2 linked regions of the Lepisosteus oculatus genome follow. The protein of the gene in region 2 interacts with the protein of the main gene of each other region in a pairwise test. Links are inferred from orthologs where the notes say so. Each region holds a gene or a part of one and is shown on either strand. Other genes may lie near its edges. The genes, in order: cAMP-dependent protein kinase type II-beta regulatory subunit and kinesin-1 heavy chain.

Evidence for each region.
Region 1: the proteins of kinesin-1 heavy chain (region 2) and cAMP-dependent protein kinase type II-beta regulatory subunit interact in binary tests that used the Homo sapiens proteins (3 or more experiments, as listed by UniProt). The two-hybrid records come from large-scale screens. The link is inferred for Lepisosteus oculatus from reciprocal best matches to the Homo sapiens genes KIF5B and PRKAR2B.

What each region holds. Positions count from the first base shown.
Region 1 is NC_090702.1:39,640,115-39,656,307, reverse strand, and holds the start of cAMP-dependent protein kinase type II-beta regulatory subunit, read right to left. Parts: upstream 8,103-16,193; 5' UTR 8,004-8,102; intron 7,998-8,003; exon of another isoform or gene 7,862-7,997; intron 7,777-7,861; exon of another isoform or gene 7,074-7,776; 5' UTR 7,059-7,073; coding exon 6,794-7,058; intron 1,700-6,793; coding exon 1,664-1,699; intron 1-1,663. UniProt on the Homo sapiens protein: Regulatory subunit of the cAMP-dependent protein kinases involved in cAMP signaling in cells. Type II regulatory chains mediate membrane association by binding to anchoring proteins, including the MAP2 kinase.
Region 2 is NC_090701.1:39,345,204-39,361,598, forward strand, and holds the start of kinesin-1 heavy chain, read left to right. Parts: upstream 1-9,382; 5' UTR 9,383-9,621; coding exon 9,622-9,747; intron 9,748-16,395. UniProt on the Homo sapiens protein: Microtubule-dependent motor required for normal distribution of mitochondria and lysosomes. Can induce formation of neurite-like membrane protrusions in non-neuronal cells in a ZFYVE27-dependent manner.

The sequences.
Region 1 (16,193 bases), on a different chromosome or scaffold from region 2:
AAAAAGTACCAAATCCTCACCAGACTTATAGTCAACAACTACACGTAGTCACAGCTAAGAGACTCTGAATCTTTCTGGCCTAAAATATATGCTATTGTGTATGTTTTAATATACCACTTTTTTAACAGTAATGAGTCTTTCAAAATAAATCCTTCATCTTAAGGTACTTCATAATGAAATAATAAACAAAAGAAACAGGTACAGAGACACTCAATAAAGTAAAAACAATCAGAAATGAAGAGAGTATAAATGTCATTTTTAATTCAGGATTTACAATTCTGGCTGATTGACATGCAAGATACGAGATGGATTCCACAGTCTTGGAGCAACAGAACAGGAAGCACAGTTTTCCAGTGTTCAGAGATCTGTTTTATTAAATTGAAAGAAGTCTGGAGGTCAAAAGCACAAACTACATATAGGTGTATAAATAGTTAAGAATTCACAATTGTAGTCAGGATACTAACTGTTCAAGGTCTTTAAGGTGAGAAATAGTATTTTGACTTTTATTCTGAAATCTACAGAGAGCCAGTCCAGGAAATCTAAGACGCAATAAATCCAGATGCATTTTAGTTCAGTTCCAAACATACTGGTACTTTTTAAGGACACATTTGGCTACACCAGCATGCACAGCATTAGAATAATAGTGTGTAAAAACAAATTTATATATTAACATTATATATATTAACTTTCCTGCATCAGACCTTGAGATATATGAAGGAACATAAGCAATGTTAACAAAGATGAAAGGGACATTTTCACAATAATAACAACTAGAATTTCACGTGGAAGTGTCACCATGCATGCTGCCTTTCAATATCAAGTATTTGCTAGTGTTTTCTAAATGACCTTGATCATTACAATGATAATGCTTAAAAAAGTGATTAAACTATTTGTATACACTCTTGAGTAATTACTGTGAGTAACAATTATTGTTGCTGTGCATATTAGTTTATATATGCATTACATGCATTGCAATTTTTTAAACAAGTAATTTTTTAAACAACTCAGCTGTGGAGCCTTCCTCTGGTGTGAAGGCCGAAGAAGGCTCCATAGCCGAAACGTTGTGTTTTTCTTCTCATTTCAGTGCAGAATAAACCTTTACCTGTTCCTTTGCAGACCACACATGCTGATGCAGCTACCTACTTGAACTTTTACAATGTGTTTGTTCTTTACCAATTACTACTATATTACTTATGTGTTGCAAGGTTCTCTGAAGTTGTGATTAGTAATGGAAGACAAAAAAGAAATAAGGTTCATTACATGTTTAGATCTGAAAAACAGTAGGCAAAGTGGAAAACTAAACCCTTATTATATTTTCTAAAGATCCTACTTTTCCCATTGGTCATTTGAGCTTTTGTAAAGATAGTAAATAGCTTCACTAAAGATTTCCAGAATCATCTTATCTTTTACATTTTTAGATTTTACAGCATATAGTTTGCATCATGATAAATAGGAACCCAAGCTGAATCAATTAGAATTTACAAAGTAGGACATGAAACATACAAAATTAAATAACAAGAGAACTTCAGTCAATTACATACAGAAATGTATCATTCTTCATAATATAGCAGAAATATGATATTATTTCACCATTTCAAATGTGAAGCAAGTTAAATGTTTTTTAGAAAATATTACAACAGACACAAAATGAATGTTGACTTACCTGAAGCTCTTCTTACGAATCTGTTGATAACTGGGGCTGAAAAAAAATGGATGTTTGCTATCAATTATAAAAAATGAAACCGAAACCACTTCTAATTTTTAATTTACAGAAAGTTGTCAGTGTATTTCTAAAAAATTGCAGCCATCAGAATAAAAAGCTCTTTTGTTTACTAATTATTTGACTGAAATGACGAAAATCACAGGTACTTTTCAAATAAAAGACATTTTCTTGAAAGATTTGCACGGTGTAAATTATGTATGAATGGTGTATATTCATATGTAAAATTACAATATATGTATATATTGTATTATCATAATGCATCATTATCACACATTATTTTTTTTCTGATAGGAAAAATGATTACACACAATCAAACAATGAATATAATATTTGATTACTCAATATTTGAGAAGCTTAGAGGCATGTTGTCTTTGTGTTTGATCTTCTATTCACAAAACTAAAGGTCTTTCCATTTCTTCAATAATATTTCCTCTCTGCTAAGATATCACAATTAATTTCATGGAAGCAGTTCCTTTAAAATGTTTACAGAAACAGTTCTGTAAATAGGAATTGGCCAAAATGCCCTCACACCAACGAACAGGACTGATCAGAAGTTACAGGAATCATTTGGTTGAGGTCATTGTTGCTAAAGGAGGTTCCACCAGTTACTAAATCTAAAGGCTCAAATACATTTTCATCACAGAAAGTGAACATTTAAACAATGTGTTCAATATAGACGTGAAAAGGTACACTTGTTTATGTGTTGTTTAATAAGAGTGTTTATCTATTGTTATAACAAAAATGAAGATCAGATCACATTTTAGAAGTAAATACTGCAGGAAAACAGGTGATTCAAAGGATCCACAAATGTTTTCTCACATTTATGTGTGTGATCAGCGTCACCACAATCTGGACAGTATTACTAATTGTAGTACATTAGATATTTCTTAGGGTCCATTACTTTCAAAGTTCATTCAAGTTTACTAAAACCAAAATTAAATCTGCCAACTAATTAACATTATTGCATGTCAAAACCTGGACATGTATTTTGTACACTTTGTATATTTCATCATCTACAGTGTAAGCAGTTTCTATCTAATCTCTTTAGATTTCACTAACACTGTGGGGGACATGCTTTTCCAAACCATACATTTGGAAAGCAAGTGATTTTATGGTAACTAGGCAAACCTTTAAAAAGAGAACAGCTAAAGCCTGGAGATGCGCTTTACATAAATAAATTAAAAATGGAATAGCTACTTTCAATTTAATGTATAACATATTCAGATTGATATGTCTACGGTTTGACTTATTTTACTTTTCCCCTGCAGGACACTGTATGCTGGATTCATCTAATACCAAACCAGACCTTGCGGAAATATAAAACTTCCTGAAAAAGATACAGCATATTTCAAAAATAACCCAAACGTTTTGCACCATTTTCTGTTTGTTAGCCTATTGTTTTATATATTAGTGGAGAGGAATACTGCTAGATTATAAGACAAAGTTGTTAATAACCAATTTAGCAATCACACTGTATCTTTGAAAGTTTTTTTATTGTTCATGTATTGATTTTACTACACCTACCTGAAGTTAAAAAAATATTTTGCACATAAATAAATCAAACATAATATAGACTTTACTTAACCAAAACGGTACACCATTAGAAATAACATGAAATAACTGCTGCAGGCTTTTGTTGATCAATCAAAATAAAGTTTCCAAAAGTATTCTCCCCATGAATAAAGGCTTTGATATTTAATAAGTGTGGTAAGAATGAAAGAATAAAAGGGTCAACTAAGCCAACGTGTGCACTTAAGACTCAAGTAAAATAACAGCTCAATATAAAAATACGAGTGGGTCATATTTGAAGATTAGGACAGCTGACTATTTTACATTCTGAATCCACTTCAGTCTTATATCTCGTTTTCAAAATAAAAACAATTAAACACTAAGATCACATTCTCAGCCTAAGACTGAAGAAGTTGCATAACTGTTTTGGGGTTCTGAGGATTTCAAAACCGAAGCACAATAAAAGAGCAATCTCTTCTGTCTGTATGGCTCAGAGCGTATCAGGGATATAATAAACATAAATCCTCTTATCTGTGTAAAATTATCATATATTTTGGATTGTGAACTGATTGGCTAAGGCCTCAAAATTCTCAAATTTCTGTTGTGTACAACATCTCTGAAGGAAAGGTCTAAAAGGGCAACTGGGCAGAGAAGCTATTTAAATGATTACATCATAACACCTAGCCTTTCTTGCAGTGTCCGTTTTAGATGATTTTACAAAGGTTTTAGTACTATCCTAATAATTAAAACGCATATTTGCTTTCCACTTTGGAGAAATAAAGAGATGCACACTTTTCCATGCATTTTCTAACTGCTTTATCCAATAAGGGTCACAGGGACCCAGAACCTATCCTAATAAGCAATGGGCATAGCAGAAAATTCACATTCTATCAGAATATGTTTATTGAGTAGAAACAGGCTGATTCCATTCCAAAAGGTGGTTTTCTGTTAATACATGGATCAAGCTTTCATTTTTTCTTAGTTAATAAAATGTATCCAAAAAATTGAAGCCTTGGGGGTGAACACTTCTTTAATATAAAGATACAAAGATTCAGAAGAAAAAATGTTTAAGCAAAAAATCTTAGACATTTGTGTCTACCACAGAAGGTAAGTCTTACACAAGTGAAATCACAAAGACTACTCATACTACTACAGCTACAGTAACAGTTGCAAGGAACGTTCTTTTAATTACATGCTTTCAATATTGGCTTTGTGTTATACAACAGGTATATATTTTTGTGTTCAGGTATTACATTGTGCATTAATAATAAATAATAATAAACCCTTTCCACTTTATTTGATAACTATAGTACTGAAAATACAAGACAACAGCTGTTCATCACAGCTGCCTTTCCTGTCAATGTCACTACAAAATCACATTTTCTGATTCTGTGATTGTGACTTAATTTTTTTTATTAGAAAACATACATAACTATATAATATTCTTCACAAAATTCAGAAGAGAAAAACGGAGTAGGAAAGACCAATTGTCTGCTACTGTATGATAACTTTGTGTGAACTAAATAAAAACTATTTCTAGTATAACCTTTGTTAAATTAACTTCTTGAATTAATATTAAGAACTAAAAATGCTGAATGCCTTTTTTCACATTAAACATTTTAGATAGTTCTGATAGTAGGCTCTGGTATGCTTCACTGAACTAACTTGCAAAGGCTTAACCCAGAAACCTTCTGATGAAATAGAGAGTAAGTTATGTCACAAATAGGGGAAAACTTATTTTTTATTCATGTTTTGTGATTTGTTCACATAGCATAAGACGTAGTTCTTGTATCTTTAAAATAGATGAAAATTATTCACTTTTTCAACTAGCTGCATATCTACCACAGTCCTTCAAAGTAATTACAATTGCTAAACACTAAACACTGTACTGCTCATGAAAATAGCCTGACATTTCTTGGAACTGCATATTCTGCATATGACTGCAAAGCGCGATCACAGAGGTCTAATCAATCCCAATTAAACAGATGCACACAAACGGCATTTAATTTTGAAGCAATATTCTGGACTGAAAATTTAACACGAAAAGGGCTTAAGTGGGAATTTCCTGATGATGTCAATACAGCTGTTAGTCCTGTACCTCACTGTCATTTCACATGGCTGTTTCACATGTGTGTAAATCCAGCCATAGCAAATAACTCATCTTCTTTTTAAAGTTTAGTGTAGACCATCTTAAACCCTTACTGTACCAATAAGGTCAACTCAAACCCTCCACGATCTAGGTAAGTGATCATGACATTAAGTCAGTCACACATTATTTAAGGAAAACAACTTCACAATTATCTCTCATTCACGATGGAGGGCAATTTCAGAAAGTGATTTCAGACTGCATCTCCCCTGCATAAGCAACACTATCACAGTACATGGCAAAATATCAACCTGAACTATTGTATTTTTTTTAATGAAATGGGATTTTATAAAACAAGCCTTGAGAATTTCAAAAACAGAATAAAGAAAAAAGAGTCTGAATTCTATAATTCAAAATCTAGAACAAAATGCTTCCTTAGTCATCATGGTTTTTTTTTCCCCAAAGCACAATACTGTATGTCTGTGACGTAAAGTCAGAATCATCCTTACTGAAACAGGCCTTATTTATGTTTACAGACTGCACTGAGATTCATAAAGCATACCAGGAGTAGTCCCCACAATTTAAACTCCATCTTCACACAGAGCAAATCCAATGTACTGTAGAATGTGCACGATAGCCTCCAGCTGGAAAGTACAACAGACGGCCAACTGGACATCAAGGTAAGATCTTTCTTTTGGGGACTATAAAAAAAAATATGCAAGGCCGGCAGCTTTAGCACACTGTTCAGAGCGTCTCCATATTTTTAAACAACAGAAACAAATGTTTACGAAACCTGTACATCATGAATTACGTGTTTAACGTTCCAAGCGTGAGAAAATTACATAACGGGCCCTTTTAAAGTATCTCCCCACAAGTTACATGGAACAGGTATCTCACTATAGTGCACACCACACACAAACTGTAAGTACACATAGTGTAGAGGTGCGCTGTATAATGTGCACATCAGGCTTTGTTGCGAGGGGTGTTATTAATATTATCCAAGCTGTCGTCTGAGGCCCTGCGCGGTGCCTCGTCAGCTATTTGCGCTAAGGTGCTGTCAAGGAGAGAATCTGGCGTTTACCTTTCAGAAAGGTGCTTGTGTACTATTTTCTCAGCGATACTGTCAAAATATGCTGCTGCTACACGTACTGTATATCGAGATAGACGGCTAACGCCAAAAAATGACCATTTCATGAGCATTCGTCTGCTGGCTGGGTCTATTATTCTATTTATAACGCGTACATTAAATCGATCTTAGAAAGAGTTAATTTATTTCAGGGAAAAAAAATATAAGTATCCTTCACTGCGCTTTGGGGGGGTGGGATTTGTTCGTGCGGGATCGGTATTTTATTAGTATTTCGAAGCACGTTTACACTGCAGGGTTCTCAAACTACCGACATTTGCTTAAAATAAAGACGAGAATCGTAATCCCTGGTCCGGGCAATAAAAGTCATAATAACAATAACGTGTGTTACCTACGAATTCCTCGTCGTCTTCATCATCCTCCTCTCCATTTTCCGAATCCGTTTGCATGGGTTCTTCAATAAAGTTGACTCCCTTCCCGGGTCTATAAGATGAGTTTTGCTCATGGCCCAGTGCCTCCCCTGTACTCTGACTTTCCTTCAGCTGGGTGAAATACTGCAGGGCAAACTCGAGCAGATCTCCCGGCTGATTCCTCAAGACCTCCACTGTAAAGCTCTGCAACAGCTCCGTCAGCCCTGCAGGGATTTCTATACTCATTCCTATAATCAATCTCTGGAGAAATAAGTGCAAAATAGTATCACAGGAATTCGATCACCCTAGTTGTTGGTTTTTAAAGCTCGGCTCCTGAGTGATAAAATTTGAGGAAACGGGAGAAAAGTTTCCGAAAACAGATCAATCCAAAATGTGCAGTGCAGCTGACAGGGGTTTTGTCTGCAGCACACGAGTCCCAGTGCTTTCAACACAGACCTTCCTCCTCTACCGCCTGCTGAATGAAAATGGCAGTGAAATTTGTAGCATCTATGCCGCTGGCTGGCTGGCTACAGGAAGCCCATGCATGTGACCCGAGAAACCATGGCAACCACCCATCCAGGGATTGCGTGCGAGAGCCGCTGCGAAACTGCAGTGACTGAGGAGCTTCGGGAATACCTGGTGTAGACCGGCACCGTGTGCCGCTGGTGTCTATTTATGCGTGCCACGATGGCAAAGTTCATTTTAAGTAGCATCCATTTCGCGCCTGAGAGCGCACGTTCATGTGCAACGTGCCATTTTGCGACCCTAGCCGTGTACGCAGTTGTTTTTAATGCCTCCAGGTGAACGCTTTACACTGTCGGGAGTAAGGTGTAACTGTAGGTTTCTCATTGGTGAATTGAACTGCGGAGAAAGAATAGTTTTAAACTACAGTACATAACTCGAAAAACCGACCGCATGTTGCCTATTTTGAGAAAGGAAAATGTTTTCATTGTGGTTTCAATGGTTTGCTTTTTAAGGTCATTCAACGTTACAAAAAAGCCCCCAAAACACCATCTACCGAAAAAAAAAATGCATCTGATAAGCGTCACCTTTTTCGACGATTCGCAGCCCGTGTTGCAGGATACTTGTTGGTGAATCTTTTAAGTATATATATTGAAAAACAGAAGTTCTCTATCGTATAACGCAGTTTAAATTGAACAAGGATGCAGGAGTTAAACAGTACTACGTTACCGTTTCTGCTGTGCTCGTCGAAGGGGCCGTTAGGCACGTGTCTTAGATTTTGAACCGGGTGATGCCGGAGTTCAAACGGTTTTGCTTTCCCGCCTGGAGTTTCTGCTGTGCGCTTGCTAGAACCGCCAATACATACACGTCTAAAATGTAGGCTACAGCAGACAGGTTATTATTACCACTTAGCAGGACGTTCTGTGTACTTGACGTAATTTTCTTTTTTTTAAAAAAAAAAAACCCAGGTATTTCTGCATGTGTTGCGTTTTCCCCTTGCATTTTACAAAAAAGTTGCAATGTATTATAGATCAACCCCAACAATAGACCAACAATGGGAGAGGGGGCTTCTGCTAGGAAAGCTTATCTATAAGTGGGAAACCCATACGGGGACATTCAATAGTAATAAGGGCATTTCTCGAAAAGAGTAGGAGTATTCCCCTGGTGTAATGGCCAAATTTCCCATTGGCCTTTACCAGTCATGGCCTCCCAATAATTCCCATCTATGAATTGGCCTCACCATTCTGATCTCCCCATTAATAGCTGGTGTGTGGTACTGCACTATAGCTGCCGTTGCATCATTCAGGTGGGGGCTGCACATTGGTGGTGGTGAAGGATCCCCATTACCTGTAAAGCAGGATACGGAGTGTCCAGAAAAGCGCTATATCAGTGTAAGGAATTATTATAATGATGTTTATAGAGTTTAACATGTAATTTCCAAAGTTTTTTTCAGCACAATTGGTACAATCGTAAAGACAGGTATACTGAATATCCCAAAGAGTAGTAGGCTACAACTTTGAAAATAAGTTACTTATAAGTAACTTTACTTAAATATACTTGATTTGTATATGGTGTGATGAGGCACATCATCAACTCAGAGAGAGAGGATTAACACACACTAAGTGTTCTAAATCTAGAAACGTCTTGTTGGTTTTCCATATTGTTTAAAAGGCTGCTAACTAATAGAAAATAAAGTTTTGATTTTTAATTGTGTAATTTAATTATGGTGTTTTTCCTTAAATGGGTTGAATATTTCAGCTTCACAAACAATTGCTGTTTGAGAAACATTTATTTTTTATCAGATTGTTGGCCTTCTTAAGTGTGCTCTTTTTACCTTTGTAAATTCCAGCCCTCCTAAATTTGAATTATTATGTTACATTGTTTAAGTCTTCGTTGAAAACCCACTATAAAAACAGTGAGAACTAACAGTCAAGTTTCCCCGTTCTGTTTCACAGGGGAACTATCTTAATGGATATCTAAATGCAGTTTTATATCCATTAAGACCTTTATTAGACTAAATTTAGTCAAAACTAGGTTAAGTGATAATCAGTCTGCTCAGTGACTACAACTTTCTGTACATTGCACTGCTTCAACGCGGGGTCACACAGATTACCTTCAAGTGCTTCTTTACAATATCAGCATCTTTTACAGTTTTGATGTTCGAGTCAAGGAGGCATTGCTGAAAGAGAGTAGTTTTCCTCCAGCAATATCTGTGACAATGTAAAGTATTAAACTTATCACCTGAAGGATCTGATGTGTAAAAATAGTTACTTCCATATGCACTTCCAAGAGTAGCAGGTTTAGAGTTAACTGTCTTCAAAATCTTTAAAAGGAAAAACTGTACTGCAATGCTAACTTCATACAAGGTGTGAACTACTATAAGAGATCCAAGCAAGAGTCAAAAGTCTATATGGAACTGTATTTGTTTATTTTCGTTTTAATATTAAAATATTTAAACAGACAAAAAAAACAGATCACACACTTAAGTGGTAGCTTAAGGTCATCATTGTTTAATTTCTAGTTGTTTGTTCCATTGTTATTAATTAGATTGTTTCCCAAAAGAGTAAACAAAACAGGATTCTATGTATTTCAGTACAAAGTCTTTATTTTACAAATCTCTCTTCAGCTGGAAAGGAAACTCACTTCAAAAAAGAAAACTATGCTTTTAGACTACTTATGTTTTATTTGTTGTTTGTGGAAAACAAAAGAGCAAAAAACAAAATCAGAGCTAACAGCATTCCTAGGTACTACCAGATTGAACTCTATATATACCAGCAAAGAAAAAAGAAACCAGAAATGAGTTGAGTCTCTATCTTCAGTGAGGACATCAATAAACCCCAATCAATAAATTCATGAGTTGTGAGCCCAGAAATGAATCAACTTATATTTAATCACTATTGAGGTCATTGTCAGAAAAAATGGATACATTGAAAAATACAATAACGAAGTCTATGGGAATGATTTCTAAAAACATTCAAATGTTGCATGTTCCAAAATCCAAATGTTCCAAATTTTTTTGCAGTTCCCATCAGAGTGCAAAAAAATTCTCAAAATTAAAAATTCAGAAACAACAAGGCGTGGGAGGCTGAAGTAGATGAAAAAGCCTCATATTCTGCAGAATCCTGAGTTACACTGCACTACGAGAATGTATGTACAGTACATCATGGCACCACTTTAAAAGCTGGTGATACTTAAAACACCAGTAGATTATATGTTACCTACTGTATAAAAATGTCATTGAGAAAGCATGCTTTTTTGCAGTAAGTATTTTTGCTGAACTGTAGAGATAATAGAATTTATGCCTCATTCACAAATGATTAGAGGCCATAAGCTGAAACTTATCCAACAACGGGCCTGTGGATAAGATGTACCTTTATGGGTGAGGCCTCTTGCATTATAAAAGCAATCACACTGTTTTTTTAGCCTTGCCTAAAAAAAAAAGACATAAGTTGTCCAAGGTGGCCCTGTGAAAGCTTGCCCAGTCTTAGCTTGTAAACCTATTTCTGGGTTCAGGCAAAATATATGATCTGCATCCCGATGGCCAGTCAACGCCGAACACCACTTTCATCAGTGGAAACCTGGGAGATCTCGGCAGGCTCTAGAATGGCCTCCCTCAGGAGTTGAAATGACTGTTTTCTGCATGTTATTATCGCTCTGTCATAAATTCATTTCCTTGTTGTCCTGGCTCTGCAGTACCTCATTTAATTAAAATCAAGATGTGAAACAATGACAGTGGGGAAGGTTTTGAAGTGTGGGTGAAAATCTAAATCTGCACTTGTATGATGCACTAACTACATAACTAATATTATGTCCTTTGGACAAGGCATTAATCCAGGGTTCTAGCTACATGATCATTAAACGTTCCAATGGCAGTGTTAACCCAGGTGTCCTGATTTAATTCCACTGTGGATTTGCATAATCTGCCCATCCTAAATTTCCACTTAATTCAGTTGGTAAGCAATTTATCACTCCCCCACTTGACCTGCAATGTAGTACAGGGTGTCTGAACCATAATGGATGCCCTCATCAACTAGTTGGGAGCTAAACTTCAACAGTGGATAAAGTACGGCCCCTCCAGTATTTAAAGCACTCTGTCAGCAATTGAATGTGGAAAGTTCCACGTATTGGAAAGGTTACAATTGTCAATATACTGTATACTAAGTGGTATTAAATATCCAACAAATGCAGATTTGAAGCAGTAGCTTGTGTTATGTTTTTAATGTATCTCGGTATATGAATGTAAGAACATTATAACATTGCAAAGATTACAAAAGAGACAATGTCCATTGTTGTTGTTGTTGTTTACAATAATAGTTAATTTATTTGAGGATTTCATCCAACTGTTTCTTGAAAGAAGCTAGATTATCAGCTTTGCTCCAGATATTGTAAGAATAATGTTGGTATTATTATTATCTTTATTGAAAACAACATCAACAGAAATACTGACCAGAAAAGAAGGAAGATCTCAACTGAAATGCAGAGAAAAAGGAAAAGAAAAAACAAAGGAAAGTGACCACTCAAATAAACTGTGTGCTTTTAAAAAATCTCTGTCAAGGATGAAACAATTCTTGGCGCTGAATAACATAATTTGGCTATGCTTGTCTCTACATAAGAATAATATCTAGAAAAGAGTGCAACCATAAGAGATTTAAATGGAGATTCACAAGATACATTTTTGGTTATAGTAAAACCTGCCAACAGATGTTGTATATAGAGACCGACAGCCATATGGGAATCGTCACTGGGTAAAAATAGTGCAGGACCCCTTTATGTAGTTCCAATGGTTATATAGTTCCACCACATATAAAACCAAAGGTAGTCTATCTCAGAGCATTTCTACATCAACACAGCCACATTCCTATGTGTACACCTGTGAGAGTGAACTACATCTGTATTGGATAACATGTTTAACATGCATCAACCAGTGTGTTACATTTCTAGATGAAAACTCTACATAATATATAAAGAACTGGAATTAAACTGATTTTATGTGCAGAAAGAACGTATTTAGGGATGAGACCTTGAAGAATAAACATTAGTCAGTCATCCAATTTTTTTGAGAAACAAAAAAAAATGGAAAAACACTGGGAGATCGTAGGTTTTCTTTAGACATAAAATATGTCCAGTCTGGCACCCCCAGAAATCTCCCAGGGTTCAGTATGAATATTTTCTGCACCATAATAAATAAGTTAAAGACTGACAGACAGTAAGACAAAAGTTCTCCAGATTGGGGAGAATTTGTGGACTTTTCGTGTTGTGGCAAGGAAGCCATTGACTCTCTTTCCAAATCTGGGCCATTCAAAAAGAAACAGTTCTATATATTATATATAATGTATACAAGCAGGTATATACTGTATACATACTGTAAACAAGCAGGTATATAGTGTAAACAAGCAGGTTTGTGAATATTGCTCTCGATTTTGAGATGGTTCTGCCAACAAATGCTACTTGTTAAATCTGCATGGAGATCATGTTGGAACATTTCTGTTACTTATTTGCTCGTACATTACATTAGTCAATACAGCGACTAGTGAGCAGGAAGTTTCTTTACATATAGATTATGTACAGACAAGGCCTACATCTAAACCACCCAGAAAACTCCAGACTGTTACAAAGTATTCAACTCTTAATGCCTACAGAGGCTAAAGAAAAGATAAGCTGCCTTCTAAACTAAATAGAATACAACCTACAATTAAATCCATCTGTAACCTGGATGCCACAGAATAAACGAAAGCCTATTTCCCTATTTTAAAATGCACCAAGCAGGAGAGGCAGTTTTAAACAGAGAGATTCTTTGCTCAGGAACTCCAAATTCATTAAAAGCTAAAGAATAGCAAGCTCTCTTAGCAAGGCACAAGCTTCAAGTTCCCTCTCCTCTTCTCCTCTCTCATGTCTGACCTTCTTATTTTTCCTTCTTCTGATCTGATATGATCTGTCTTCTAGACTGTTTATTGACACTTAGTCATTTACTCAGAACTTCAATAACTAAGGTAAACTTTATGATGCGCTTTGATCACAGACACTGGCCCCCTACATCTAAGCGAACATCCCCTCTGCTTTGAAGCTGAAATGTTTACACTGCCAGGTGATACACACTTTTTCTAGATTCTTAGACACTTCCACTGTCAACTACCAATATATCCAGCTATCAGCTTGTAACAGTATAATAGTATATTATATATACTATGACATTAAATAGCCACTGTTTCAACACAGGCTGCAAATCCTGTTGTACATTGTCATGGAAAGGTGACCTCTAAATGCAGGAACTGCTTTCACTTTTTACCTTGCAATTTTAAAAGGAGCTAGGACCCTTTTCTCCAGCAACAGATTCTTTTTATTTCCCAGAACCACCAGTGTACCCACAGACCAGACAACGCAAACATTCTACATATTTTCCTCTTTTATTACGGTGCACTCATCACACAAAAACATCCCCACAACACAGCAATTTCTATCACTGCCCACCCAACACAAAGAGCCATGAGACACAGAACACATTGATCAGCTTGCTATATGCAGATGTCCATCTGTAATGATGCATTGTATATCCCTCCCCCCCCCCCTACCTCAGGCTGCGACAAAGTTAGACGTGTCTCCCAATCCCACACTTCACCTCTGAACTGTGTGGTAATTACCAAGTGTATGAGCAGTGGGAGGGCGCTGAAAGCACAAGGTGAAAATGCATCAGTCCATAGGGAGAAACTGACCACTCCTCCTTAAACTTCAAGTCAACACAGTGCCTGACACTTGTTGTCCCTCTCCCATTTTTCTTCACCCTTTGACACAAGCACAACCATCTTAGGACTGGTTCCAAGGTTTTCCCATAGATCGGAAAAAAGGTAGGGACAATAAAAGATTCACATTAGGATTCAGTTTGGAAAATACAGGTCCTCATCATACTGACATGATTAGCCTCCTGAAATTAAAGAGTCTTCCGGAGCCTTCTGAGGCTTCAAGCTGCCAGTGTGCCTCAGCCCATTGTTTATGTGGATTAGGCTATCATGGCTTGGCATTAGAGGTCAGAACAATCCTCTCCTCTTCAGTTCTCTTTTAGCTGTGTGATTACCGTCCCTGTCTCCTCTCGGTCTTTACATGCTGCAATTTTCACTCCACTGCTGTTCTGTGGTGCTTTCCAATCTCTCCTCTTATCCCCTATCCCCTAGGGAAGGGACATTTGGGTTTAATTTAGTCTTACACTTGGACATTATACGTTCCTAAAAGCTGGCAAAGTACAGTTCCCAGAAATCAGTGTAATAATAGATTCAAAAGAAACACAGAAATTAGACCAGAAAATATGTTTTTATTTCAGTTAAAGGGGAACTGCAGTCCCAGTTTCTCAGACCGGTTATTAAATCTTGTTAACAAATAAATTCATTGATGGTATAGAAAAACAAAATTTGAATTAAGCACAAAATAGTGAACTTTGTGAAAGTACTGTAAGTTTCCATCTTTTGGCAAACTCCTGGTCTCACAACATAATAGAATTCACACAAATTGTGACATGATTTGTGACATTGTGACTCTCAGGCAGAAGGGGGCATCATTGTCAGCAGCCATATCACTCTGCAACTCACAACTGGCAGCCCCACTGAAGCTCAGCAGGTGTGAGGCTGGTCAGTACCTGGATGGGAGACCTCCTGGGAAAAACTAAGGTTTCTGCTGGAAGAGGTGTAAGTGGAGCCAGCTGGGGGTGTTCACCCTGTGGTCCATATGGGTCCTAATGCCCCAGTATAGTGATGGGAACACTATACTGTAAATAGGCACTCTCCTTTGGATGAGACGTAAAACCGAGGTCCTGACTCTCTGTGGTCATTAAAAATCCCAGGGTGTTTCTCAAAAAAAGAGTAGAGGTGTAACCCTGACGTCCTGGCCAAATTTCCCATTGGCTCTTACCAATCATGGCCTCCTTATAATTCCCATCTATGAATTGGCTTCATTACTCTGCTCTCCTCCCCACTGATAGCTGATGTGTGGTGAGCATTCTGGCGCACTATGGCTGCCGTCGCATCATCCAGGTGGTGCACATTGGTGGTGGTGGAGGGGAGTCCACATTGCCTATAAAGCGCTTTGAGTGGAGTGTCCAGAAAAGTGCTATATATGTCACGGACGTCCAAAGGGACTAACCGTGGGGAGCAGGAGAGCGGAAAAAGACCCATATGTGTAGCGGCGAGACAGGAAAAAGGCCCGGGCTCATTAGTGCGAAGAGTTCAGGAATGCCGTATAGAAACCTATGCCCTCAGGGAGCGGACGTGGGGCGCCCTGATGCTGGGCGGGTCTCAGGACATCCGAACGTCAATGCTGAGCGAGGACAGAGTGCAAGACCCGGAAATATATAGCCCAAGGGAAAGAGAGGGACAGGAAGGACAGCAGACCGGAAACTAGGGACAGGACAGAGAAGAAGCACCCTCTGGCTGCAGAGGGTGTGACAATATAAGTGTAAGCAATTATTATTATTATTATTGTTATTTATAACATTTTTTACCATTTAAGTCCTATTACTATACCTCTTCCCTCTTCTTTTGAGTGTTTTGTTTTAAATGTCTCTATCCCCCAATCTACTATCATTTCCACAGTTTATAGACCACCTAAACAAAGTGAAGCCTTCTTAGGTGAGTTTGCTGATTTCCTCTCATTTTTATGCCTTAAGTTTAAAAGGATCTTTATTCTAGGGGACTTTAATATACACATTGACTCAAGGTCTTCCAGTCTGGCTAAAGACTTCCTTTCTCTACTGGTATGTTTTGATCTTACTCAGTTTGTAACCCTACACATAACAAAGGACACACCCTAGATTTAATCATTGCAAATGACTCAAATATCTCCCACTGCTCTTCCCTTGAACTATGCCTCTCTGAACACTTAGCTGTTCTCTTCAATCTGGAATTACCTGTTTCTAACACTTCCCCCTCACACTCT
Region 2 (16,395 bases):
AGGTACCAGCATATTCAATTTGTCAGTTTCTAAAGTCCCTTCTTCAAAGATGGTCAAATGCAAACCCATGCAGCAGTTCAAATATCTCAGCCTGATTTATCAAGCAGGACACTCTGCCTGCCCAGCTGTGCAGCCTTCTTGGTATAAAGAAGAGAGATCTGGCTGCTCTCATACTCATGACTGGCAGTCATGATTCCTTACCAACACCTGTAATTCCTTTCTAGGGAGGACAGGGTTCATTCAAGGAAAGCAAAAATGTCCAGGGATCGGAGTAAAGAAGACTGCATTGCTGAATTGTTCCCACTGTTTGAATAGGTTTGTTTTTTGATAATTAAACCACAAGGAGAAGGCATGTGCTCATGTTAAGACTACCCAGAACCAAACATACTATTGTATTAATAAATGAATATTATATGAACCCGAAAGCACACTTTTCTGATTTATCAGGCGTGCACCTTCCCATTTGCACAGCTTCTCAGAAGATGGAAGTAAGTGGCTGCTATCACACTCAGAAGTTACAATATCCGTTCTAAAGGGAGAGACGGGAACCTCCTCAGGGTGCAAAGACATTTGTCAATTTGGAGAATACCGTGGTGAAGAACTAACCCTCTTCCTCACTCTGTGTTGTTTCCAAATTGTCGATGGCCTCCGGTGTCAGAACCCTTGCTTCAGCCGCAGGTGATGTGGCGGGCGGTTGCCATGGTAGCACAGACCACTTTCTCTTTCTCTAGACCCCCTCATCCTTTTGCTGAGCAATTTCCAAAACCTTCACAGGGCTTGTCCCTTATAGCTTACAAAAATTCAGAACAGGCAGCAGGGCAGGTAAACTGTTCTTAAAAGCAGTGCTTCTTAAACTCTTCCTTATCTTTTGTGTGTTACAATGGAATCTTTACTGATGTAGTTAACACCCTCTGGTCTCTTCTCTGCATGTGTATTAATATGTTTCTATGTATGTTGTTGTGCATCTTCCCTGCGAGACTGTAAGCTTTTCTCAGATAAGCCTTGTTACCATCTCAACCTGCTGTGCAGTAATCTTGACACAAATGAAATCTGTCGATCGGTCTGTTGCCTCTGCACTGCCATGGGCTCAGTCTCTGGAGATACTCTATATAGTAAACGATCTCCAGAGTGAAGCAGAACTTCACACAGCTTTGTGTGCCTAGGAACAAAGCAAGTTTTGGGTTTCGAGCCTCTGTACAGTGAGCTTTGTTTGCTTTCTTGAAGCATTGTTCCAAAGCTGTGTTATTAGAGAAGTCAGTTTTGACAAAAGGGGGTGGGTAAGTGAAGTCTGGCAGGTAACCATGAGTATGCCCCTCTTCTTTTGTTGCTTCAGCAGAAACATCTACAAGAACACTCTGAACGGAGTACGTTTATCATTTGTGATAGCCTGGGGAAGCTAGTTTAGCTGGTGTTCTTATTCATGCATGTAGATGTGGATCAGGGTATTATAAGAATTAAAGTTTAGTCATTCAAATTAACTGATGATACAGAGCTAAGGGGGCATGCTATCGGGTCAAATAAGGAAGATTAGGTAGGATACAGAAGCAGGCAGATGAAAATCCATGCGAAGTTTTACATATGGATCACGATTCGTACCTTCTACCGTAAGCGCCCTGGCATTCCCACGCATGCTAAATTCCACACAGGCTCATCCAGGAGCTAATCATCCAGCCACGTCTCACCCCCCAGTATTTAGACACTCTTCAGCGGCTTACTTATGCTCACCATTGAGAAGTTTTCCACAGCTCTCTCTTGTGTGCGCTACTATTCTCGACCTGACTCCTTTCACTCCTTTCACTACCTGACCCGGTTCTCCTACTTTTGACTTGGCTCTTGCCTAACGACTTGGATTTGAAGTCTTGGATTTACTTTGCTCGAACTCCCTCCCTCACGGCTTCACACAGGGGTCCAACTGCACTTACAGTTCTGCCAGAAATCCTGGCAGAACTGTAAGAGCAGCACAGAATTGTGGACTGTATGATGATGCACGGTGGGAAGAACTGGGAGCTGTGTATACTAGAGCTATCAACATGTAGGCCAGTGGTTCCCAGTCCTGGCCCTGGAGACTCTGGTGACACCCCCGTTGGTTTTCATTCCATCCTGCCTTCATTACATAATTGAAGCCCTACCTGATCTAAGACTTTGCTTTATTGTTATATTGGCATTTTTTTTTGCACGTCACACGTCTGTGTTTTTATTTCACTTACAAAATACAACAGTTAAAGCTCCGTCATGTCCAAGAGCCGGGAAGAAACAATTCAAATTAATCTGATTATTAAGTCAGTGAAGGGTTTGATTGTGTAACTGAGGGCTCAGCTGGGACAAAACCCTATAGGTATGTGGGTGACCAAGACCAGGACTGGGAATCACTGGTCTAGCCAATGCACAGGAGTGATAGAAATGGCAAAGAGAAAGCTTGGAAATAAAACTGCACACAAGTCTGGTTTCCACATTACAGAAAGAACAAATATACTGTAGCACTTTAGAGGAAGTCCAAAACAGAGCAGCAGCACTCATTTCAGACCTTAAAGGGGTAAGGTATGAGACGAGATTTGTGGTACTTTACCTTTTTAATGTTAGGAAAAGACTAAGAGCAAGAGATGTTTAAATACTTGACCGGAAAATAGAAATACATGTATTATTATAAACATTTAACAGCTGCTAATATTGAACAAATTCTGTACCGCCTCTAACCATTTCATGGTTCAACTGTGAATATGGCGAAATGGAGCACTCTCAAAAGGTTTCCAGTGAACTTGGAAAACAAGCATAGAGGAAGTGTAACCGAAATCTTGTAGAAAAGCTTGGATAAATAAAATACGTTTAAAACACCATTTTGTTTGCTGCTGTAAGCCTGCCCTTTTATTCTTCTCTGTCCAGAAATGGTAATAACTGCAGCATACCGTCATTATGACAAACCACAGTTTATAAAAATAGCCCTGTTCTTTAGCCCATAGTGATTCTGCACCAAAGTACAGCAGCTCCCGTGTGCAGAATGAAACAGCCTGGTGAGCTGAGTGCAGTGACATCCTGGAACCTGTTAAACTGGATTGCCACGACAGAGTGGCTCTGAAAGACACTTTTGAACTGATCCTCTTTTTGTTTTTGCATCCACGCAGGTGTGGTTTCAGGATTGTGGCCAGTGGCACAGTCTTTTCATAGTTTCATGTACTTTGAAATCCAATAGTGGCTTCAAGAAACAATGTCAAATACAGATGCATTTTGATGTGAATCCCAGCCCGCGAGTTCCCAGAAGCACCACGCTCTCAGGTTTTCAATAATGAATGCAAATAAATGACTGGAAAACCACCGTCTTTGTGCAAGTCTTTGTGAAGGCTGACATTTTCCTTTCTGTTAAATTCATTTGGATGTTGTTCCATTCCTGTGGTCAAAAAATATCTGGCACAATGGAAAGTGTATTATCTTCAAGCCCTGTCGATGCCCTTTCTGTAGGAACATGCATTTATAGGTTCTAATGCACTCTTATTGTGTCCAGGTACTGCACACTGAAGAGCCCCATTCCTGGGGAATGCGCTCGTGTTTAGAGTAGAACACAAAATTAGGAGGGAAAGCTGAGTCAGGTCTCTGGTGGCCATCTACAGCAGCCAATTAAAGCGCCAAAATGACAAAATATTGCTAATTTCCATTTCTCTTGGCACAGTGTGAGGAAAACATCCCTTCCAGACTACCCATTACCATATCTTAAAATGTAGTCTCCTAACACTATAGCACTTCAAGGTAGAACATTCATTTTATTTTTTTCCTTAAGCCCCAAATTATTTTATAGCAATTTCTGTTGGAAAAACTTCTTTGTTTTCTTTAGCTTTACTAGCCATGGCTGTGCAATGTAGCTCTGTAATCTATTTTTATTTTTTCTATTCACATTTTATTTATTATGCCTGCCACTTACTTACATCTTTCATATTATGTTCATTTATTTTAAAATCTCTTTTTACCAGGTCGGGTGGTTCGGAATTGCTGTTGCTGCCCTTCAACCCCCAAAATTACAGCAAACGAAATTAATATTTCAATTAGCAGCCATATTACCCTGCAACTCTGGCACAACTGGCAACCCACTGAAGCTCAGCAGGTGTGAGCCTGGCCAGTACCTGGATGGGAGACCACCTGGGAAAGCTGAGGATGATGCTGGAAATGGGGCCAGCAGGGGTGCTCACCCTGTGGTCTTGGTGGTTCCTAATGCCCCAGTATAGTGACGTGGACACTGTACTATAAAAAAGGGGTGCTGTCCTTTGGATGAGACTTAAAACCAAGGTCCTGGCTCTGTGGTCCTTAAAAATCCCAGGGCATTTCTTGAAAAGAGTACGAGCGTAACCCTGGCATCCTGGCCAAATTTCCCATTGGCCCTTACAATCATGGCATCCTAATAATCCCCATCTATGAAATGGCTTCATCACTCTGTTCTCCTCCCCACTGATAGCTGATCTGTGGTGAGCGTACTGGTGCAGTATGGCTGCTGTCACATCATACACGTGGTAGTGGAGGGCAATCCCCATTACCTGTAAAGCACTTTGAGAGGATTGTCTAGAAAAGTGCTATATAAGTGTAAGCAATTATTCTTCTTATTAATTATTACTATTTTCAAATAATCCAAAGGAATGTCTTGTCCAGGGTGACCAGCCTCTCATGAGAACATATAGTATTTAATTTTTCATTACATTTGCAAATGACAGGAGGCCAATCAGCCCAAGGACCTTGTTTTGTAGACAGCAGCTGATTGGTCCTAAGACCTCATCCATCCGTTCCTTAAAAGAAATCATGGCATCACCTCCAGCTACTTGGCTGAGCCCCACAACCCTCTACATAAAGAAGTGACTCCCTTTCTCAATTTAAATGCACTTCACTCTAGAAAACATCACCGTCTACTACTATTTTTAAGGAAATAAAAACATTAAACTGTTGCTAAGTTGTCTCTTAAATCGAAGAACCATTTTTTAAATCATGTCATGCTGTCATGCCATGATTTTCAGGCAATAGCAACGTTCAGAGTGAAAGGCTGTCTCATTTTCCATAATCACTTTATATTCTATGAACAGTAGCTAAGAGCTAAGTGTTTTTTCCCATGTTCATGTGGGTTTCCTCTGGGTGCTCCAGTTTCCACAGTCCAAGGACAAACATGTAGATTAATTGGCTTCAGGAAAAATTGGCCTTAGATGAGTTTGCAAATAAATGTGTGTGCCTTGCGCCTATTACCTGTCGAAATAAGCTCTGGATCCCTGCAACTCTGAATTCTCATTTTAAATGCACTTTAGTTTCCCTGGCTCATGTTTACTGTTGATATCCGTTACAAGACAGAAGAAGTTCAGCGTACACATGAAACCTGTTTTATTTCACCATATCATTATTTCGTTTTTGTTTGAACCATCCTCGGTCCATGTAGGGCTGTCCTCTGTCCTCTGTCCTCTGTCATCCTCCTGTTCAAATAGTGTGAATGAAAACATCGCTGGAGGGATACCCTGCCCGTCCTACCCATCTTCTGAAAACATCACAGCAAAATCACTGCTCTAAAAATAAGCAAACACTGAGATAGCTGGCTATGACACTGACTGACACTGAGATTACATCTGAATGCCATCAGTATGAAAAAAGTATGAAACTCCTTTTTTGTGCAACTCCCATACATTCATATAGCAGTGATTTCAGTCCTGTGCTGGACTGGACTGTGTGTGTGCCCTGTGTTGGACTGGACAGTGTGTGTGCCCTGTGCTGGACTGGACTGTGTGTGTGCTCTGTGTTGGACTGGACAGTGTGTGTGCCCTTTGCTGGACTGGACTGTGTGTGTGTGCTGTGCTGGACTGGACTGTGTGTGTGCCTTGTGCTGGATTGGACTGTGTGTGTCCCCTGTGTTGCACAGAACTGTGTATGTGTGCTGTGCTGGACTGGACTGTGTGTGTGCCCTGTGTTGCACAGAACTGTGTATGTGTGCTGTGCTGGACTGGACTGTGTGTGTGCTCCGTGTTGGACTGGACAGTGTGAGTGCGGTGTGCTGGACTGGACCATTCGTGCTCTGTGCTGGACTGGACAGCGTGTACATTGTGCTGGACTGGACAGAATCTTGTGAGGTTGTTTATATCTTTCCAACTACATAAATCACTGAGGAACGATCTTTACCTGTTATAACATGTATGAAGTGATATAATTTCTAAATTGTATAGAAATGCTTTATATTCAATTTTTTTTTGCTCATTACATTAAAATACAGTAGTATGTAATCCTCTGTAACAAAATCCTTTGTATCCCATTAAAAACCTTGAAAGAGATGGGCCTGCTGGATTTTGCATTTTGCCATTTTAAATGATCTAATATTTTCATTCTTCTCTATATCCACATCCTTCTACATACCTTAATCTTAAAAAATCAAATGTGACAATCTGAAGTGTAATTAATGTCACGTAGCTGATAAAGCTTTGAGTATTGTAACACTTCGGGGTTCACATGGGCGCCCTCACTGCTGCCACATCAGGTCAGCCCCCCACCATCAGGGACTTGAACCCAAGCCTCCAGTGTCACTCAACAGGGACCCAGCCTCTTGAGCCAAAGGGAGATCTCCCTTCAGCCCAGCGGCTGCAGTCCCTGCTATACACAGGGAAGGGTGGTGACGTCACTGCGCTGGTAAGCCGGCTCTCACAAGCAATGGAGGCCGTATGCGTTACAATATAAACTATTTGTTGTTATCTAATGTTGGATGTTATCTTTTGTTGGATGGTAGCTTCTTGCTGAAAAAGGCCAGCAGCAGTGTGGAGGCTCAGTCATGCGTTGTGTATTTCTGTGCGTACAGTAAAAGGTGTAGTGAGCTGAAACTGCTCAAACTTCATCTTTGGCAGAGATAATAGATCGTTGTTTCCCTGGGGACAGGGATTTGAATCCTGAATACCAACTCTTGTGATTTGCATTAGCATTCCTGCATCTTGGCATCTGTTCTGTGAGCACATGGCTGGGATATTTTTATGCAGTCCAGTGAAGATGCTTCTCTGCACCAACTGGCCATATACTGTCTCGAAGAGAGAACTGCTAAACATATTTTAATGGGGAAAAAATCCAAGAAGTTCACTATGTGCTTCATTTCAAAATATTCTAAAGCCTTTAATTTATAATTCAGTCATCTGCTCCTATTTAACTTTATTGTCATTGATATACAACTACTCACAAGAGAACCCAACTTTAGGAGTACATACATAGGACAAGAGGTATTTTTAACAATTGGAAACAGGATCTTTCCCTCTCCGGAATATTTTTTGACACTTATTAAAGAATCACAAGGAACTAAATGTTTAGTAAAAATAATTATATTTATATAACATGAGGATCATATTGAGTGATGACATCTGAGCTTTAATGTTGTAAATATGAATGAATTCAAACAGGAGATCTCTTATAAATCAAATCCAAATCTTGGTCAATTTCATTTTCATATTTCCATATAATCTATTTCTTTTTCATTGGTGTGTCATACTTACATTTAGGATATATTTACTGATGATTCAATCTGTTAAAAGAACTATTTATCTTATCATGTGAAGCACTTGTTTTATTTCATTTTACGTCTTTCAGACACATTACGTATTTTTAACTTATGCTTATTCAAAAACATTTCAGATGTTTCAGCAGCTAACATCTTATTTTCTTAGAACACCTAGCACACTTCGTGCTACTGTATGTGCCTTTTGGTTTCTAGAGGTCCAACTAGAGAAACACAAGCAAAGATTATCATCAGAAAACCTTCAATGCCAGTTAAGAGCAGAAGGACATTAAAAATATTACAAATGGACATGTGGTCCAACAATGTTTAGTTATCCTAGTTTTATGTGCGCAAGAATCCCATAATCCCAATAAAAAATAAAAGAAAGAAATAAAAACAAACAATAACATACAAGATCATACAGATAGGTCAATTGGACATAGGCCCTAGTAAACACTTGAGTTTTAGGTTTGGATTTGAAGAACTTCAATAACACTGAAGCAGCCACCGAAGAAACTAAGAAATTCAGTGCTGGGTATAGTGAGCAAAAGACCAGCCTCAACTGAATAGAGCCTACGAGAGGGAGTGTAAACATGGAGGAGCTGAGAAATGTATGAAGAAGCCAGATTATTTAAACCTTTAAAGTCAGTAACAAGCTCTTATATTGAATATGTAATTGTATAGGCAACTGTAGAGAATGATATGCTGCCAACAGAAGAGTGTTAGGGGTACTTTCTAGCAAATTATCAGGTAATGCACTTTATAATTGTAAAACTCTACATTTTAACCACATACCCTTTGTAAACCTATTTTCTTCCATCACACTACCTAAGAAAGAGAAGAGATAAACCAAACTCAAAGATATTTCTCACAGATTGCTAGTTCCAGTTCAGTACCAACAAAAGGTATTTGAAACATACTGTACTTTCCTGAATATTATACTTAATCTGTTGCATTTTGGGGGTATTTGTGCCAACCTGAAAAGCATCTAAATCGTCTTGTATTTCTTTTGCCTTACGGAACTACTGTTGTGTCTCCATTGAGCTTTGTGAGGTTTGCAAAACTCACAAGTTTACTGATTGTAGCAGTCTCTTGCTAGGAATTTAGACGAATAGCGGTTGTATCATAGCGGATTCCAGTGACAACGATGCACAATAGTAAATTAACGACACCGAGCGCTTAATGAATTGCCTTCAGTAAGCAGCCAGACGCACTACATGTGCGTGAGTTGCGGCAACAACTTGAAGCAGGAACTCGCCTGTTGGTGTTGAGCGCACAGGCACTGGGATTAAAAATTGGTGCCAAGACAGAAAAGGAGAGGGCGGGGGACTGGCGCTTAAAAAAGCACGTGCCATCACTGTCCTTGGTTTTACATTTTAGGAATCAACGGCTGCGGTTCAATTATCCTAACCATATGCTCAAGTGACATCATTGTCTCTGCTTCTGTCTGACCAGCTGTTCAACCCCGGAACCTCCCTCTGTGAACCCGTAGGCTGCGAATGGGGACACACGAAGTCGGACGTAGGTGGGGCATCTCGTACTTGTGGTGCAAAAAAAAGCACCTGCATCATTCTTGCACTTTTTATGAAGCTGTCTGAAGTATGCAAAAAAAGAATACCCCCTGTCAATATGTATACACGATAAATGCGCGAGTTGAAAAAAAATATTTATAATGCAAAAGAAGAAATCAATATGTTTGCGTTTCATTTGCTTATGTACGTCCGGTAGGAAAATTCGGTTCTCTGGCAACACAGGTATGACTTGGCGGCGCTGCCCTCAAATCCGTAACCGCCAATCTAGCTGTAAGCCCTGGGCTGGGCCGGTCTATCCGTCTCCGGTTGGGGAGGGTGTTGATAATATCGGAGTTATCTGCAGAGGTGACGTCACCAGCCGCCCGAGAGCAGCAGACAGAAGGAGAGAGAGAGAGATCTGCCGGTGTCATGGCTGCCATATTGGAGAGGAAGTGATTCCTATCCGCCTAAGAAAAGGGGGCATTTATTACCGAGAAACCGACTGGGGGCATCGTTTCTTCGGCACTCGGTGAAGGGTTTAGGGGTGCGGCCTCCGGTTTTCTACCCTTGGGCCGTCCCGGCAGCAGGATCTGATTGTTATTATTGTCAGTTTCATCCCAGAAAGATTGGAAGATGGCGGACCCGGCGGAGTGCACCATAAAAGTGATGTGCCGATTCAGGCCGCTGAACAATTCCGAAGTGATGAGAGGGGACAAATACATCCCCAAATTTCAAGGGGAGGACAACGTTGTTATTGGGGTAAGTTGGGAGCAGAAAAGAATTTTCTTTTCTGCGATCAGGGTGGCATCGGAAGAGGCTGATGTTTTAATACAATGAGGGTTAAAAGCCAAGGGCAGTGTCTGTGCTGTCCACCCACAGATTGACACATGAGCAGCAGCCGACTGAAACTTTAGCTAATAACTGCGGCTTCATTAAAATGCATACTTACTTTTGAATTGTTTTATGCACGGAGACCCTTAACGCTTCGTTTAATCGTCTTTTGAATTCTGATATTTTTTTTCCTTGGCCACTGTTGAAGTGCGCTAGACGCCAGTTATTTGAAAATAAACGATGTAGCGGCCCGATCTCCTAAAGGGAATCGTGCTTCGTTGTGTTTTGAGGCCGGTGGCAGATCGCTGGAAGGGCTGGGTCAGACAATAAGACTGGCCTAATCGTGCCCTTTTCCACGGCGCACACAACAAAGCCAGAAGTGTTGTCCACAGCTGTAACTACGTGGCCGGCACTAGGCATTTCCCAAACCTAAAAGCGTGAACTGCTTTTGCATCGTCTCTATTGGTGTATTCGGCGTCAAAGTGTTCTGTTTCGGCAATGCGGGGGTTTCAGTTGGTTGAAGCTGCTGGACCCGGAGGCCTTCACTCGCGTCGGCCCCTCTCTGGCGTCTCAAAACAAAGCGGTATCTTTTGGGGGAGCGAGAGCAGGGATTTGACAAGCGGCGCTCAGTTGTTATTGCCTGCGTGGATATCCTACGTCTGGGTCTTGGACACAATAGGTGTGCCCGATGGATTAGGCCAATTCGGTCGGGGGGCCCTTTTATTAGGGCATAAAATTCTCCCCCACAGCCAAATAATACAGTGCTCGGGGGGGTTAGAAAATGTTTTCCAGACTGTTCGTCTCCGTGGATGCACGAATGAATGAAGTCACCAGTGAACGCATCAGCTGCTGCTTGGCTAACGCCTAAATTCCACGTTGCCCTTTGCACTCATCGCACCACATCTCCCAAGTGAACTCGGAAAAAGTACTGGGGAGGGAGTCTTTGAACCCGTAAGACTGGAGAGAGTGCGGTCGCGCTGTCACTTGACAGGTGTCAGGCTGGCGTGCGCCGGCCGAGGGGCTCCTGTTTGTTGTGCGGTGGGTGAGGGGGCCCGTGAAAGACAATGGCGCCCCACTGAGCTACCGCAGCTGAGAGCACGAATTCGCCAACGACCGCTACAGATTTGAAGCACAGTCATTCTTGAAGTGCAGGCGCCGATCTTGAAATCGAAAGTTTTTTTTTTTTGCTGCTTTGTGTGCAGAAAAACTTGGCCCCTGCGAAGCGTGTCCTGAAATAGCTGCCCTGCTCAAAGATTTTTCAGTATCCCGGCATCAGCGGAATTCACATGGGGTGATTTTTTTGTCTTCCCAATTACATGGTGCTGACGATCACTGATAACAAGTCCAGCCTTTTGAGGCAACATTCATCAAAATACCAGTTCCTCAGATGTCACGGAGTGATATTCGTGCCTGCTTGCAATTTGTCTTTTTGAAAAACATTCTGCAAAGGCACACATAGGACATGGGCAGTACAGATTGGTCAAATGTAACTGCTGAAGTTATTCATAATATCCATTTGTAAAATACAATAGAGCTCTTTCCACATTCCTCATTGTCCTCTCTGATTTAGCTTTATCACTCTGTGGGACTTCACAGGGATAGAATTGTGGTTTCTGTAGTACACACTGCCTAATGAGTCTTTTGTCAGGACGTGTAACTCAGTATCATGAATATGCACTAGGAAATGTATTTGATCTGTCTTGTGACCTTTTGTAAAGAGGCTCTTGCTCAAAGAGTCAATATTTGTTTGGAAGAAAATAAAGCTTATGAAGAACTACAAGTAGGCACATACAGTATAGAGCTAGACAGTCGTTTTAAGTCAGGGGAACCATCCTGACCTTTGTAGAAAAGCAGCCAGCTTGCTACCCCGAAGGATCTTGTTAATTGAGAATGCATACATGCTCATAATATGGTCTGTGTATTATTTGCTGGCTACTGGATATGCATCTTATTTCTCTGAAAAATTTGGAATTTGGGTTGAAAAGAGCAAGAACGTTTTCCCTTCTCCAGGCTAAAATTCTGTTCTATAACAAGGTTGATTATTGTGGAAGAAAATACACTTCAGCTTTTAAAGCTATCCGTTTTACTGTATGGGGGGATTAAGAATGTTAGAAGGGTCATATAAAACAGGAAGGAAAGTCCACTGGGCCTGTCATTCACTTAGTAGTAGTAGCTGATCCCAAAATTGTGCATCTGCTTGAAGTATACTTGCTTAAGCAGTGGAGTGCATGGTGGTATTTTGGTTAGCAATGCTGCCTCGTATACAGTATTCCAGGTTTCTATGGCTACATTATATGTATAATCAACATTTTTGCTTATGGGGTACGCCTTCATCGTCCAGTCTGTGGTTCGAATGTCAAGTTGTTGAGAAGCTTAGGGAAGCACATACAAAGATCAAGGCCCTTCACAAACAGCACAGTCAATACCGTTGTCTAAACTAAAGGAATGTATGAACTGTTGCACTCTAACCATTGTAACGTTTTAGCATATAACACTGTTTGGACTATAGTCCAATATTCTGTATCAACAAAGTTATAAATGTTAAGTGTTTTACTTAAGATGCAGTGCCATTCCCCATTATCGCTTATGGGTTAAAGCCCTTTTTTGTTTATTGCAAAAAATAGTTGCACAGTATAACTATAATATAACTATTGCATGTGCATGTATTGAGTATGTATTTATTTTTCCATGTAGTTTTCATTAAAAGGATATAAGATTCCGATGGCAAATGAGGCCTCAGGAAAGTCGAGCTAAGCTGTACTGCAAGAATCTCTAACTGAAGTGCTCCAGGACGACTGTCTATTGTACAAGATCCCCTAAATATATTATTTTTTCATTATTAGGAGCTTTTGAACCATATGGCACTAAGCTTGTATCGGTTTGTCAAGTAATTCTGGATGTTGAGTGCTGAGCTGATGCATATTCTTATTTTTGTTCTAAATCATGTGTAAATTGCTTACTTTAATAAAGCCCCTGTGTAACTAGTTGGAGTAAAAATTTCCAGTTTTCAGTTTTTTTATAGTTTAGTTTTTAGTGTTTACTTATATAATAACAATAATTCCTTACACTTATATAGCACTTTTCTGGACACTCCACTCAAAGTGCTTTACAGGTAATGGGGATCCCCCTCCTCCACCACCTATATGATGCGACGGCAGCCATAGTGTGTCAGAACGCTCACCACACATCAGCTATCAGTGAGGAGGAGAGCAGAGTAATGAAGCCAGTTCATAGAGGGGGATTATTAGGAGACCATGATTGGTAATGGCCAGGGGGAAATATGGCCAGGATGCCGGGGTAACACCCCTGTTTCTTTTCAAGAAATGCCCTGGGATTGTTAAGGACTACAGATGGTCAGAACCTCAGTTTTACATCTCACCCGAAGGACGGTGCCCTTTTATAGTATTGTATCCCCGTCACTATATTGGGGCATCAGGACCCACACGGACAAAACATGCAATGGATTTGGGCATTCCAGAACCACGGTTGGAGACCCCCCAAGTTTACAGAAGTCACATGCAGCAGGTCAAGTTATGATGGATAGCATGTCCAGAAATATTAGGGTGCCCTTGTCTGCGTTTGCTTTTGATTGTAGCCTGGGGTGGATGTGTTTCGGCCAGTCTGACTTGACAGGGCAACAGACCTGAGGTTTTGAACTGTATCCGTTGACAGCTGAGTAATGCACGTGGAAATGAATGAATCCTTCCCATGCTCTGTTTAAAAGAGCTTCTGAAATATTTATGACAAGGTCAGTAATTTTCAGGAGATAACTGATTAATGTTCCATTTAGTTCAGCAGAGGAGAGGGTGTGATTTATATCAGTATGCGTTAGTAAGCTGGAAGGATAAGGAAACATCAGAGGGCTGTGGGTAGTGGTAACTATCGGATAACTCCATTTTGTTTGCCCAGCCTGCCGTTCTATGGAAAGAAATAATCTTCATAATCAGTGTTTTCTCTTCACAGCAGTGCAGAAAGTTAGGTTAAAATGCACGGGAGGCACTTAATTGGCACTCTTGTTGAATTAGTTTGCATGTCGTTTGTTAGGTACGATAAGAAGAGTTGTCATTTTTGCTGTGTAGTTTTTTGTTTACTTTGGCTTCATTAGCTTTTCTGATAACCATCAACATTCGGCTCTTAAAGTAAGGGAAAAAGAATCAAAACGGGCCGAAGTTGAGAAGTTCAAGGCGCCACCCTTGCACTACAAATGGAGGAAATGTTTTAGTGCAGTTAGTGCCGTTGATGGTGTTTTGCTCAGGTGGTGACATCTTGTTACAGTCCGGGCAAATCAACATGGCGATATGTTTATGGTTTCAAAGGTTTCCCTTTGGCTCTTTAACCCCTTCTAAGGTGTCTAAACCAGCAGCAGAACAGAAGAAGCAGTCGTACTTGAATAAAAAAGAAACGGTTCATAAAGGCAGTGTAGCGGGCTTCCGGGTAGAGGTGCCTGCCCAAGCCCTGGCAGGTGGCTGGTGGCACAGGTTGTGAGGGGTGTTTGCGTTTTAGCTGGTTTAGCGGCTAGAGATTCACACTCCAGTCGAGCGATCTGGCTGTCGGATGTCAGACCTCCGAGCCCTGCAGTGGGTGTTCACGGTGATTAACCATTTTTGTAACTGGCCACTCCCCGGGCTTGAATGCAGAAGAGCTTTTGTTGTCCTCAGGTTTACCAGAACGGGTTTTGTTGGAAAGGAACAGTCCTTGCTTATGTCCCCAAGTACAGCCCTCTGCACACAAGCTTGAAGACCGGGAAGCTGGAGCTTGCGGCTGCTTATGTAATTGTTTTCCTGCGTTTGTACAATTACAGCAAGGCTAGAACATGCCACCCTAGAAATTCTTCACAGTGCCTCTTTATTTACTGTCTACATGCGTAAAGGCTTACCTGTATAAAAAAGCATACAGTTGTTTTGTTTTGGAATTGAAGATCTAAAATATCTTCCAGGTCTTTGCGGGTCCTGTTCATTTCAGCACTCTTCAGCTGCAAAAAGCTGAGTTTTAATTCACCGTCACTTTTAGTCAATTTATGAGAATTCATATTGAAATACTGTTTATTCAACAATTGGTAAGACTACTGGAATGATAAATGGGTACCTAATTGTGATATCAATATTATATTATCATGCAATTGGGATATGAACACCCTTTAAAAAAGGAGGTCTTTATATCTTTGGGAAAATTGTGCATCTTGCAGGCTCCTGTGTCTGCTGATCTGCTATGGGTGGTCCAGTGGTCATTCAGACATACGACCGTCAAATGAAGAGTGAAGCCATTTTTCCTTATTTCTCTCATTAAATCCGGCAGCGCCAGTACAGCAGTGTATGTGAAATCTTTGTCCCTCAGATGTGCAGTGCTGTGGTAGGGCTTCCTTTTTGTTGACGCAGGTTTGAGTAGCTGTTAGCCTCGTTTTAATAATGCACCCATGGGCCCCAGAGCCCTGCAACGGTTGTGCAGTAATCGCTTAATGCTTCTCCTGGCAACACATATCTGACTAAAATGAGCTCCACCAACGAGATTTAAATGGTATTCGGCCTGGGGCTGGGGCTTGTGTGGGGCTGGTAATCTGGCCCTTCGGCCAGGCCTCCTGATGCCTCTCTTCAGCAGTTAGGCCTCAGTGCCGTGTTAATCTTTACTGAGCAGGTTATTCTCTTTCCAGTCTAGTGTGATTTGTGCATCTGTATCGTTACAAAATACCTTGGCTTCTCTACCGAGACTGTTCTGTGGTTGAAACCTCGAGGTCGCTTGGATATCGTCTAAACAAATGTAAGGACTTCTGCACTCCTCTGATGTCCGTAATGCTGAGTGCAGAAAGAGAGTAATTGCTTGTGATTGAAGTCAAGAATTATGCCCAGGTCTGACCTGGTTGATTGGTGTCTGCTACAAAGCTGTGGCTTTAAGAGGACTCAACTTTAAAAACACCGCTTGAGTATTTGAGTACAGTTTATTATTCTTCACCTGGTTGGCAGAAGATGCAACTCTTCTCTCCTTAATTACGCATGTGGTTCACCAGGGTAAATGTTAGGTCTTGGTAATCCCGGTCTTTCGTTAATATTCGGCTGCGTCACGCAGTGCTGTACAGGCGAATATCATGTACCAAAAGATGTCTGTAACTAATAATTCCCAAAAAAATCAGGTAATGAGGCCCACTGTGAGCAGGAGGGAGTGCACCCGTTTCTAACCATTGTAGTGTAAAAGAAGTGGCTGTGCTGAAGACATGAATAGAAGTGTGAAATTAATCAAAACCCAAAGCTTCAGAGGAGATCAGACTGTTTTTACAAATCAATAGCTAGAAGAGTCTTTTGATGTCCAATGTACAGTGTCAAGGACTGCCTGAAAAAAAGAGAGGTCTCTCAATTCTTTTTGTTCACTGGCTGCCTTAGCAACTGTACTTTAATCTATTTTAGAATTTGCTCGTAATGTACTCGCTTCATAACAAGGTCATCTTTGAAAATTGTACAATGCCAAAGAGTCTTCTTGGTTAAAGCAAAGCAGAAAGCATGAGTGCTGATAAGCCATGGCTGTATTGACCAAAGACATGGCTTTCTCTCCCATAATTGACAGTTTTCACCTTTATCATCTATTTGT